Regions from separate parts of the Mus musculus genome. Here regions 1, 3 and 4 are each reported to be linked to region 2. Evidence: microRNA targets listed by miRTarBase, many of them from high-throughput screens and not tested one by one. Region 2 holds a microRNA gene; each other region holds the end of a gene's coding sequence.
The links. Region 2 holds the annotated microRNA mmu-miR-665-3p (ACCAGGAGGCUGAGGUCCCU, at 1,397-1,416, shown strand). A microRNA usually pairs through its seed, bases 2 to 8, with sites in the 3' UTR of a target mRNA and lowers its output. Matches are read on the target gene's strand: a 7mer-m8 pairs with bases 2 to 8, a 7mer-A1 pairs with bases 2 to 7 and ends in A, and an 8mer does both.

Region 1: the mRNA of Cdnf is a reported target of mmu-miR-665-3p. Seed matches in the 3' UTR shown: 7mer-A1 at 2,401-2,407.
Region 3: miRTarBase lists Gk5 as a target of mmu-miR-665-3p. The part of its 3' UTR that is shown has no 7-base or 8-base seed match.
Region 4: miRTarBase lists Emc1 as a target of mmu-miR-665-3p. Seed matches in the 3' UTR shown: 7mer-A1 at 1,270-1,276, 8mer at 2,109-2,116 and 7mer-m8 at 2,568-2,574.

The regions. Positions count from the first base shown.
Region 1 is chr2:3,523,366-3,526,443 of GRCm38, forward strand. It overlaps Cdnf (cerebral dopamine neurotrophic factor), which reads left to right. Exons shown (of 4, transcript NM_177647.4): 4 at 446-3,011. The coding sequence ends at 624. Among named protein-coding and RNA genes, the nearest start is that of Cdnf, 12 kb to the left of the region's middle.
Region 2 is chr12:109,584,972-109,588,049 of GRCm38, forward strand. It overlaps Mir665 (microRNA 665), which reads left to right and starts at 1,343; the gene lies at 1,343-1,436. Mir337 (microRNA 337) reads left to right here and starts at 818; the gene lies at 818-914. It overlaps Mir3544 (microRNA 3544), which reads right to left and starts at 902; the gene lies at 842-902. It overlaps Mir540 (microRNA 540), which reads left to right and starts at 1,109; the gene lies at 1,109-1,175. It also overlaps Mir3070a and a transcript of Rtl1 not described here.
Region 3 is chr9:96,178,897-96,181,960 of GRCm38, forward strand. Gk5 (glycerol kinase 5 (putative)) reads left to right here. Exons shown (of 16, transcript NM_001368879.1): 16 at 25-3,064. The coding sequence ends at 173. Among named protein-coding and RNA genes, the nearest start is that of Tfdp2, 16 kb to the right of the region's middle.
Region 4 is chr4:139,375,319-139,378,396 of GRCm38, forward strand. It overlaps Emc1 (ER membrane protein complex subunit 1), which reads left to right. Exons shown (of 24, transcript NM_146157.4): 24 at 28-3,078. The coding sequence ends at 207. Among named protein-coding and RNA genes, the nearest start is that of Ubr4, 3.8 kb to the right of the region's middle.

The sequences.
Region 1 (3,078 bases), not on the chromosome of region 2:
GCCCCAGCATAGCATGTGAAGGTCAGGGAACAATCTTGGGAGTCAGTCCCTTCTTTCCAGTGTGTGGAATCACTGAAGATTCAACTAAGAATCCTTGGGCTTGGTAGCAAGTGCCTTCGCCCACTGAGCCAGCCATCTTGCCAGCCAGCAAATGGTTGTTATACTGTGTTGTTAAGTGGTTTATGACAAAAAGATAAAGAAAAAAGAAAAACCTCTGTCTATGCTTAACACAGATTTGGCATTTTCATCCCTGAATATTGTTGGTCTATGGTTGGTAGCCTTTAAGCACTGAGAACCCAGGGTGCAGGCTGACTGGTGATATCACATTCTCATTGGGTATGTCTTGGTCCCCATGGGAAAGGGAGTTGTCTCACACTGAAGGGGAATGGAGTTTTATGAGATTTTGGGTTTGTCATTCAACTGTGTGTTCTTTTTTGGCATTTAGGGAAGAAGCTGGACTTGGCGTCGGTGGACCTGTGGAAGATGAGAGTGGCAGAGCTAAAGCAGATCCTTCAGAGATGGGGGGAAGAGTGCAGGGCATGTGCGGAGAAAAGTGACTACGTGAACCTCATTAGAGAGCTGGCCCCCAAATATGTAGAGATATACCCCCAAACGGAGCTCTGACCCCGTCGGCTGTCAGGAAGCATGGACTGCAGTTAGAAGAAAATGACTGTCTAAGATGAGAGTGTGCTGGTTAGGGCTAACCAGGGACTGCCCAGTTGGCCGTCAGTTTTGCTGTTGTATTGTGGAGTTGTGTTGTTTAGGCATATGATCAACCCGTGCTTCCTCATGGTCGCTAAAATTGCAGAGCACAGAGACCTCAAGGTGCTTTTCTCATCCTTCTTGGAGGATGCAGTGGTTGCCTTTGCATTGCTATGACAATAATGCTTATTGAGAGAGGCTGGCCATGGCCACATGGAGAGAGGGGGAAGGGAGTGAGAGAAAGAGGGCTAGAGATGAGAGTAAGAAAGGTGAGGGCTTAAAGAGAGAGAGGAAGGGCCAAGCAGCCCCCTTTATAGTGGGCTGGGCTACCTTGCTGTTGCCAGGTAACTGAAACAAGTGTGGGGAGGGAAGAGTCACTTGGGCTCAGGGATTTGGTCCATCACAGCAGGGTAGCTAAGGGCAGCACAGCTCAGAGCAGGGCGACAAGAGCTTGTCATAGAGGCTGTTGTGATTATAGAGAGGCAGAAAGTGATGTCCAAATAATGATAAGGCTGTAACCTTCAAAGGGATAGCCCTATTCATCCACTTCTGTCAGTCAGACACCCACCTCACAGTTTCCCCAAATTACCACTAGCTAGGGAACAAACCTTCAAATCAAACCGATGCCAGGTGTGGTGGTGAATGCCTTTAATGCCAGCACTCTGTCTGGAGGCAGATCTCTGTGAGTCTGAGGCCAGCCTGGTCTACAAAGTGAGTCTAGGACAGCCAGGGTCACACAGAGAAACACTGTTTTGAAAAACAAACAAACAAACAAACAAACAGACAAACACTAAAATAAAATCCAACCAATGAACCAACCAAACAACCAAACAACCCAAACCAAACAAAAAACTGAGCTGGAGGAGGACAGTTCAGATCCAAGGCACAGCAGAAGGACAATGTAGTTTATCACTACTGACTCAAGTGTGCTATGGATATGATGGGATAATACATTTTAAGGAAGGAAAGAGACAAGAGGCATCTCTTTGGTCAAGGTTTTTAAAAAGAGTGCATAACAGAAACTATAGCTTATCTAATGTGCGACTTCAATCTCAATAACCACCTAACATAGTTCAGAAGGTTCTTGTTTCATTTTGCTTTTTAAAAATAGATTTTTTAAAAAACTTCATTCACTCTAAATATTTTCTCTCTTTTGCACAGCAAGGAGGGAAGCATTCATTACTTTATAGGCTCTTGAGACAAAATACCTAAAAAAACAATCGAGAAAGGAGTTAATTTAGTTCATGGTTTGAGATTACAGTTCATCACGGCAGCAGGAGTGTGAGGCCATTGGTCAAACTCATCCATGTCCTAGAAGCAGAGATGGAAGTAGATGCTCTGCTAGCTGTCAGTCTGACCCCAGCACGGGAATGCCACTGCTCACATTCAGGATGGGGTCTTCCTTCCACAGTTAAACTCTCTCTAGCAACGCCCTCCCACTCGTGCCCAGAGGTATGTGTCACCTAGGCAATTCTAAATTCCACCAAGTTAACAATGGCGATTAAGCATTGCACAGCACGAATGGAAGTTTCCGTTTCTCATATAAAGAAAACTGATCGGAAGAATACAAATCAGCAATCCATAAAAAGTCTGTGCTTGGCCTATTTATAACTACCTTTTTTTGTTGTTGTTTTTTGTTTTTTGTTTTTTTGTTTTTTTGTTTTCTTGAAGCAGGATTTCTCTGTATAGTTCTGGCTGTCCTGGAACTCACTCTGTAGACCAGGCTGGCCTCAAACTCAGAAATCCGCCTGCCTCTGCTGGGATTAAAGGCGTGCGCCACCACGCCCGGCTTGTAACCACCTTGAATTGCCACGTGACCCAAGCTCAGAGTCTTCTTCACTGCCCCGTGTCAGGCAGGATGAAAGCATGCTCCCCACGTGCAGGCAGCAGGGGCGCTTGTGGTTTCTAATGCTAGCCTATCAGTCTTAAGAAGCAGGCAATGTTTCAGCTCCATTCTCTGTCCATAGATCAATAAGAAGCACATGGTTAAATGGTTGCCTTTGGGAAATAGGTCAGGGTGTGGCTACTCAAGAAAGCATTCTCTTTAAAGTTTCTGGGGTGATGGGACTGTACTTTATCAAGGCAGGAGGTGAGAGATATGATCATCATATTGATATAGAGGTACAATTAAGATGTGGGTATTCTATTGTACATCAATTCTATTTCATAAAAAGTTGTAGGAGCTATTTGAAAATTACCCAAAATTAATTGATTAAAAGCAACTGTTCTTTTAAATAATCAAATGTACTCATAGCCATCTTTTTTGTAGAGTAGAGAATAACTTAAATTCAGATAATAAATATACATTGACAGAATAAGGTTTATTTTTAAATGGTGCAAGGGAATGCATTTTCAGCTAAGCAATTGGGGTAAACG
Region 2 (3,078 bases):
ACAAGTGTTTGTTGGCAGTTGGTGGGTGTGCCAGACAAGGAAGAGAAGAGCACAAGTCAGGAAAGATTTTTTTTTTTTACTTTATTCATATGTAAGGTGATACACATGTGCCATTCAAGCTGGCCATGGTGACAGAGGCCTGTCAATCATAGCCACACTTGGAAGCCTGAGGCAGGAAGATGGAGAAGTCGGGATCCACTCTGGATTACACAGATCCTGTTTCAAAAACAAACAAACAAACAAAAAAACTAACAGGCAAGCAAAAGCAGTTTGTGGTTTTTAGTTATTCATGGAGGAGTGTAACTCAAGTTGACACTCAAAGAACCTGGGGAGCGGTTGTTAGCTGTACCTGCAGTTTGTCCCCTCACCACACTGAGTAGCTTTTAACCCATGCATCTTTTTGGGGGATCCATCTGGGGCGTCTAAGCTCCTGCTGGTTCCCATGAGTCCCTTCTAGGTCTGCAGAGGAACCCACTGGATACTCGGGATGGACCTTAGCAGGACACTCCTGTGACCACAGTCACCCTTCCTTCCCTCTCCGCTTCCCCACCCCTCCTTCAGTGCTCCCTTGCCCCTCCTCTCTCCCTCCCATCCCTCTGCTCCCTCTCCCCCCTCCTCATCCCCTGGATTGGCTCCAGTCACTCCATGAGAGTTTATAAGAAGTGAGGTTGGGCAAGGAGGGTAGATGCTTCCACTGTGCTGCAGGTGCCCTAGGGCTGGCTGGCCTTTGGTTTCCTTCCTCTAACACTAAGCCCTGGGAGTCTGTCCTACCTGTTGTCTGTGCTTCTTGCCTTGCTTTTTCAGGAGAGGAGGGTCCCAGTGTAGTGAGAAGTTGGGGGGTGGGAACGGCGTCATGCAGGAGTTGATTGCACAGCCATTCAGCTCCTATATGATGCCTTTCTTCACCCCCTTCAACCGCGTGAGGCCTCCGGACCCTCCTCCGCGCACCTTGGGCCGCTTAGGGACGCGTCTTCAGCTCGCTCTTTTCCCCTGGCATGCTTTCTCGCCATTCTCCACAGTTCCTGGAGGGGAATACCCGGGGCTGGGCCATACCTGAGATCATTCCTTGGCGGGGGAGCTATACCCCTGGTGGGACATTCCCTGGGGCTGGGCCAAGGGTCACCCTCTGACTCTGTGGCCAAGGGTAGACAGGTCAGAGGTCGATCCTGGGCCTACTCTGGGGCTCCTCCCACTGGGATTCCAGGAGCCGTTCTCTCCTGGAGGTCCTCTGAGGGGACCCAGCTCCTAGCAGAAAGGGTGGATCCTTGAGAGATGGGGTCTTTGTTACTAGAGCAGGGCACAGGGCTGAGACAGGGCAGGGCTGAGCATTACCAGTGCTCCCAGAACAGGGTCTCCTTGAGGGGCCTCTGCCTCTATCCAGGATTATGTTTTTATGACCAGGAGGCTGAGGTCCCTTACAGGCGGCCTCTTACTCTCTCCTTGAGCCCTTCTGGAGACGTCTCACCTCATTCAGTTCAAACTCTGGATCCCCTAAGGAGTGCAGAAGATCCCTGTTCATCCTCCTCCCAGGCCGGGTGCCCACAGACACTTCAGTAGCACAATGAGCAGCTGGCGTAGAGTCTGAACCCCAATACCTAGGTCATTGCATGCATACAGGGCCCATCTCCATCCCCACAACACCACCATTATTAACTGCATTTACCAGCTATGGCAGCCAGCCCCGGCACACAGGAGCACCCTGAGTGAATAGCCTGGAAGCTGTGAAAGGATTTGAGGGCAGGACAGGGAGGACCCAGGCCACACCCAGTCCCCCTCCCCTTCACCACTGTCTCTCCCTTCCCTGTCCCCCCCTCTGCCCCCAATCTCCTTCTTCCTACTTGTGCTCCTGCACGGTCTTGGTGGCAAGATGGTCATGCGTGTCTCTCAGCTCACACAGGTGGATCAAAGTCCAGATGAGGTTTGCTGCTCAGGTCTCAGATCGTGTCTAACGATGTGGTCCCCTGGGCCCAGCACCAGGGCTTAAGGTGTATGGGACAGTTGAGGGGTGGGTAATATTTTCTTTTCCTTTTCTTACTATGGGGGTAGCCCAAGTTAGCCCAGGTTACCCAGGCATGTGGAGATCTCTGCTCCAGCCTGGTGAGGAGCTGGTAAAACTCTGGACTCAGGGTCCTGTGTGTGTGCTGTCACTGGCTCTGGTACCTGCAGGGACATCTTATAAGGGGAAGCAATGGAGAGGACAGGGAAGGTGGGCAAGGGAGGGCCCCTGCTCCTCTTTGTTCCTGGATGCTGTCAGAGCTCTCTGGTTGGGGACTGAAGCTGGGAAGTGGGGGCAGCTCCTTGGTGGGTGGAGTCTGCAGCCAGGGCCTGGCCTCTGGTTTTCACCTTGACAGGGTTGGAAGTGATGTTATCATCCCCTAGCAGGAACTTTCACACCAATTTCTTTCTTTTCTTTTCTCTTCCCCAGGAGAAAAAAAAAGGTTTGTGTTGTGTTTTTCAATCTCTATAAGTGGCTCCGCCGATAACCTGATAACCTACCGTTTTAGCACGTTTTAGCACGTCACCAGCTCTCTTCACAGTCCGGACCACCTCCTTTTGCTGTTAATGGGGACAAATCCCTGCTGGGTAGATTGGTAGGCCTGCGGGCCTTTATTGTCCTTTATGGTCTGTGTTCGTGCGGGCTGTGGGTAAACGCACCTCTGCAGTCAACATCACTGGCAGCCTCTTGGCGGGCTGCTGGCTCACTGAGTTCTCCTTCACTCTCACTTGCTTGGGGCCCTCAGGGCCTTGGGGCCCCTGGCAGTAGTCCTGACCTAAGTCATCTCTGCATTCACTGGGCCAGAGAAGTCCTCACCAAGCAGGGACAGGATTGTTTTGTTTTGTTTTGAGGCCCAGTTTTGTTGGAGGTGCCCAGGTAAACTAAGTGAGGGTACAGGACTGGTACGTTTGTTCTCCTCCAATAGGACCCCAGTCCCACCTTAAGGTTATGGACGCTCCTTAGGAACAGGAGGAAGTGCTGAGTGAGGCTGAGCCCCTGACCTTGAACCTGGGATCCTATCCATGATCTCCTGGTGCTACCGTCAGGGGTAGATTCCTTGTCATGAGGCCCCTTAGGACCCA
Region 3 (3,064 bases), not on the chromosome of region 2:
TGAGATTTTTTTTTTCATCTGTAGGATTTTGGGCGGACAAGGAAGAGCTCCAGAAGCTGAGGCAAAGCGAGATGGTTTTCAAGCCTCAGAAGAAGTGGCAGGAATACGAGGTGAATATGGAAAACTGGGTAAAAGCGGTGAAGCGCTCCATGAATTGGTATAACAAGACGTAGCCCCGAGGAGCCAAGGAAAACCTGCAGGCCGGGGGACAGGATGTGCCGGTGGGGGCTGCACAGGGGTCACCGTGTGACTGTGGCCGAGAGGAAAAGATTCGAAACAAGCCTTGCAGGCTGAAAGAAGAAGCCAGGCTCTTTTAAACAAAACAAAACAAAACAAAACAACCTCACATACAAAAAAAAATACTTCTTATTTTTTAAATTCAAATCATAGTGAAATTTTTAGGCAGCAAGACCTCAAAATTGAGTCTTCTTTCTTCTGGCGATTTCCAAAGGACACTGTCCACTTCTAACTGCATTTCAGATACTTGTGAGTCCTCTTTTTTTATACAGGGAGAATGGCACATACTTCATAGTCATTGTTTACCCTAATGGTTCCGGGTCACATTTTGTTAAAAATGATGAAATGTTTTCTTAAATTTGAAATCAAGAGGGCTCTTTGAAACCCACATAGCTAAAACGAAGAGGTAGTTGAGAGGACGTTTTATATATAAAGCCATAATTGTCAAGTGTCATATCCTCAGATAAGCTCTGACGTCACTCTTCAGTGACCTCCTTAGTCAGCGCACGCGTTCCTTTGTCATGCATAAAGACACGGCCTTAATTCTTCTGCACAACCTGAGCTGTTTCGTTGTTTTCATTGAGGCACAGTGTCACCACGTAGCCCAGGCTAGCCTGAAACATGACCTTCTTCCTCATCTCTCAGATTCTAAGATTATAGGCGGGCACCATCGTGCCTGGGTGGGCACTCAGCATACATTGAGGAACGCATCTCAGTGGACTGAAAGGGATGTTGAGGCTGGGCATGGTGGCAAATATGGGGACTTTCGAGGCTGCGGCCAGGGGAGCTTGAGCTTGGAGCCTGTCCAGACGATGCAGTGAAGTCCAGGCAATCTGGGTGACACAGTGAGGCCTTGTCTTTGAAAATATCTCATTTGTTTGAGAGAAGATCCTGTTTAGCCCATGCCAGTTTCTAACTCTTGAACCCCCAACTTTAGTCTCTAGAGTTGTGTGTCACATTCTATTTTTATAAAATGCAAGCAGTTAATGTAAACCTTTCTTCCTGGCTCTTTATCTTTCTTGACTTGTTGAAATGCTCGCATAAATGTCCCCTTTTTAAAAAGTGCCTACTTCACAGAGTTTAATTATTGTTAGTTTTGTTTGTTTGTTTGTTTGTTTGTTTTGGCAACCGAGTCTCATTATGTAGCTCAGGCTAGCCTAAAACTCCCGAACCTCTTGACTTAGTCTCCTGAGGTGCCAGGTTTGTTGGCGCTTACTCTGACATCACAGTTTATGTTGAAGCACCCCAGCTTATCAGTAACTTAAGAATTGCCTTTCTGGGTTACTTGATGTGACTTTTGGTATTTGTCCTGCTCACCTCTGAGGGATAGCAGAGGCTGGCAGATCAGGTGATGGAATGTGTCTTGGTGACAATGGCTGTAAACCAGTCAGCCACTAAGCAGCAGTCCCCTGTTAGGAAACTTCGTGGCTGGAAGCAGGTGGAGGAGTCAGTAGAGAGAGGCCTCAGACTGGGTATAAAATTGTCCTGGGGTGGTTGGCAGTGCTCCAGCCTCTTTTACTAAACTCTGTTGCCTCTCACGTCATGGAGATTTGGATTTTCTTGAGGTACATGAACTTGCCCCCATCTGGTCCATATCCCATAAAAGTGCTACTGTTCTAGAACTATCTACTACATAATTACCTCACTAAAGGAGCAACTCTTAAGAGGGAATGTTATATTTCTGTCATATGTTCATTTGGGAGTCAGTTATTCTAGAATAACAGGTACATTGTGTTTTTTTGCAAATTATTTTCTTGGGCTCCCAGTGTCTTCAATTGTTAAAAATGTTTCTTAATGGCAACATTATAGCAAACATGTAGCTTCGTTTATTCTATTAACTTTTGGAGACAAGCCAACAAGATGTCTCAGCAGGTAAAAGCACTTGTTACACAGGCTTACCAGCCTGAGTTAAATCCCCAGAAGGAACGTGTGTCCAGGTAGAGGAAGAAAACTGACTCCAGAGTTTTCTTATGACTTCCACGTGTACATGGTGCTGTGCACACTTCCTCCATAATAATACTACAAAGTCTAAAAGGCTTGGAAAGGTCTTTGTTAGAGGTGCATTTGTTTACTGTAGCAAACCAGATCTTAGGTAGAAAATATCTTTTTCTTTCTCTTCTGCAGCATCGTTGCAGGTTTCCCATAAATCTTGTGAGAACTGCTTTATGTGGAGGTTTTTACAGGTTCTGCTGATAGGTTCCTAGGATGTAACTCGGTCCCTTTGTATCAGGAGAGACTAAACTGTGATGTTAACTATGAACGGTCTCTTTGCCGTTCCTTCCCTACACTCTTCCTAACTGACAGCTGTGCAGTCAGGGATAAATGCCCTTCAGATACTGTGAAAAACACCTAATGTGTCATCTGGATTGAAACATCGACTTTCTTTCTTCCTCCGTGGCTCTGGATGCTACTCTTTTCCTTTTTTCATTTCTGGCCATATTTTAATGACAGGGCTTAGTGATGCTTGTAATCATTAAGTAAAATCAGAAATGTTATGTCATTTGCTTTTGAGGTCGCAGGAACAGTTGTTAATCAAAAACAGTTGAAGAATATTGTCCCTTCATCTGCCTCTTGAAAATAATTTCTAATATGCTAATATTTCTCAGCATATTTTCTCTTCCTTTTGTAAATCTACCAGGCATTTTAAGAGGACTCCAGCAAACTCAGAAAGGACAGTGTTCCTGTCTTAACGTGGCACTAACTGCATTATCTATGACTTACTGATCTTCGAGTCTCTTGTATTCATCAGTGGTATGGTTTCTCAGTGTCAGCATTGATCTTTGTTTTGTTTTTATGACAGGGTCTCAATGTGTAGCCCTGGCTGTCC
Region 4 (3,078 bases), not on the chromosome of region 2:
CCAGTTCTCATTCTAGCTGTCTTTTAGGTTGTGGCCTACGGTTTGGATATTTACCAAACTCGAGTTTACCCGTCCAAGCAGTTTGATGTCCTGAAAGATGACTACGACTATGTGCTCATCAGCAGTGTCCTTTTTGGCCTGGTTTTTGCCACCATGATCACAAAGAGGCTGGCACAGGTGAAACTCCTCAATCGAGCCTGGCGGTAAAATGGGAGCACCGTGCCAGAGTGGAGCCTCGGGAAGAGGGACAGCTAAGGAGATGGCCGTGGACTGTTGGATCCCTGAGGTTGGGCTGGGCTCTTGTCTCACTTACGTCTGGGAGAAGAAGGTGCACCTTCATGGAGAAGTGCTTCGGGAACACGGTGACGAACAGTTCTTGTGGTCAGATACCCACCTCAGCGTGGAGGAGCTCCGTGCATCTGATCCACTCCCTGTTCCCTTTATGTGCTCATTCGTGGATGCTGTGAGCCTTTTGTTTTTGTTTTCTTTTTGTTTTTTTGTTTTTTTTCCTTTCATGAGACCTCTGGTTTCTTTCTTCTGAGACTGTTTAAATTGACCTTAGTTAACCTTCTGTATTTCCAGTCTTACTAGAAATATTCTGACACCTTATTCTCTTGTCTCTTGCTTTCAAGCTTGATGGGCCAGCTCTGGCTTTAAGGTGTGTGTGGCTGCCTGACTGATGGGGTGGATGCAGGAGCCATTCTTAGCCAAGGTCTGAGGACTTCTCTCTCTGAAGAGAAGTTGAAGGATCCATACATGGAGTGAGAACTAATTTTAACCAAGCTGTCATTCCATGCCACCATTTATATGGCTGGGCCATTTCTTTCAGCCTATCAAAGCCAAGCACATAACAGTAATTTGGTTTTTCATCCACAACCTGTGCTTTTTCTCCTGAGCTATAGCAAGGCTAAAATCTTTAATACTTTTCTTTCTTTTTTCTTTTTTTTGTTTTTGTAGACAGGGTTTCTCTGTGTAACTCTGACTGTCCTAGAACTCTCTTTGTAGACCAGGTTGGTCTTGAACTCACAGAGATCTTCCTGCCTCTGCCTCCCAAGTGCTGGGATCTAAGGTGTGTGCCTTAGGGCTAAAGCCTTTTAAAACTAACAGTCTGAGCCTTGGTGAGATCTTGAGGTCCAGTACATCAAATCTATTGTCCCTATAGGCCCCTATAGACATCCTGTAGCACAGCTGGAGGAAAGCAGCTTTGTTAAAACCTTTTTTTTTTTTTTTGGCTTTTCGAGACAGAGTTTCTCTGTATAGCCCTGGCTGTCCTGGAACTCACTTTGTAGACCAGGCTGGCCTCGAACTCAGAAATCCGCCTGCCTCTGTCTCCCAAGTGCTGGGATTAAAAGGCATGCATCACCATGCTTAGCTTTTTTTTTTTTTTTTAAAGACAGAGTTTTGCTCAGTTAGCCCAGGCTGGCCTCAAACTTGCAATCCTCCTGCCTTAGCCTCCCAGTGTTGGGATTGCTGGTGTTGGCCATCATGCTTGGTGGTGGGCAAGTTTTAAATCTCATTGGTATAATTTTCTGCGTGGCATTAGGGGTAGAATCCAAGGTCTCTCATGCCAGGCCAGTTCTCTGCACTGAAGCTCTCCATAAGGTGAGCCACGAGGGCTGTTGTTTTTCTTAGTTTTAAAATCTTAATAATTTTTTTGAGGGGCTGCAAGGAGGATGCTGTGCCTCAAACCCAGGGCCTCATGTGTGTTAGGACACACTTTACTACTACTGAGCTAGAGCCTCAACACATCTAATCTTTTTACTTATTTTATTGAGACAGGATCTCACCATGTAACCATGGCTGGGCTAGAACTAGCTATGTAGTCTAGGGTTGGGCTTCTGTGTGTGGTGTGTATGCACTACTGTTTGGGCTCCTTCTGTGGTGTGTGTATGCACTCCTGTATAGGCTTCTGTGTGGTGTGTGTGCATTCCTGTCTGAGTTTCTGTGTGGGGTGTGTGTGTGTTTTCCTGTTTGGGCTTCTGTGTTAGGTGTGTGTACTCCTGTCTGGGCTTCTGTATGCTGCACAGAAAGAATCCCAAGTTTGACCTTGCTTATGAACTTGGGGACTGCTTGTTCTTTTGAGCAGGGAAGTCAAAGAGTTGACCACGCTCCTGGAATAAAGCTGATGATCGGTGGCTCAGCTTTGTTTTGTGTCTTCAGAGTTCACTTCAAGGCTGCTTTTGATGGGGGGGTGGGGAAGAAAAGCCACACATGGAGGCATACCCCTATAATAGCAGCCACTTGTGGAGGCACACCCCTATAATAGCAGCGCGTGAGAGGTGGAGCAGGGAGAGTCAGAAGTTGAAGGTCATCTTCAGCTACATATTCAGCCTATGCTCTAAGAGACAGTGGTTAGAAGTACCTGTTGCTTTTTCAGCTCCGTCCCTAGTACCCACATTGGGTGCCTCACAAGCACCTGTATCCCCACCTCCAGGAGATCTAGCATCCTTGCCTGGCCTCGGGGTGTGCACATATGCACACACATAGTAACTTAGAAAACAAACAGGAAAAAATGGAGTTATGTAGGGCAAAATACCAACATCTTCATCAGTAATAACCAGTTTCCTCTCCTGGGTTAGTGAGTATCTGACACTTCCAGTGTCAGTCCCTGCCTGGACTGCTGGCTTCGTGGAAAGCCACCTGGGAGAAGGCATTGGAACCCATTACACTTTTCTGCTCTAGTTTTTGTTTTGTTATAAGCTCTCACCTTGTGAATCTGGGAGATGTGCTTGGATTAAAGGCATATATCACTGTACCCCACCTGCTCTAGTCTTGAAATAGAGCAGCTGGAATTTTGTGCAAGATAGATAAGTAACTCTTACCACACTGCCCTGTTTGTTTGTCTTGGTTTTGGTTGCTTTAAGATTTATGAGTGTCTCCCCTGCATCTGCGTGCATGCCTGGTGCCCACGGAGGCCAGAAGATGCTGGATCCCTTGGAACTAGATTTAGGGACAATTGTGACCATGTAGGTCCTGGGAACTGAACTGAGCCCTCTGGAGGAACTGAATGATGTGTCTCTTATAGTGCCTGCTGTGTTTCTACAGTACAGTTAGTCTGCAAGACTGTTTTTTCACTTA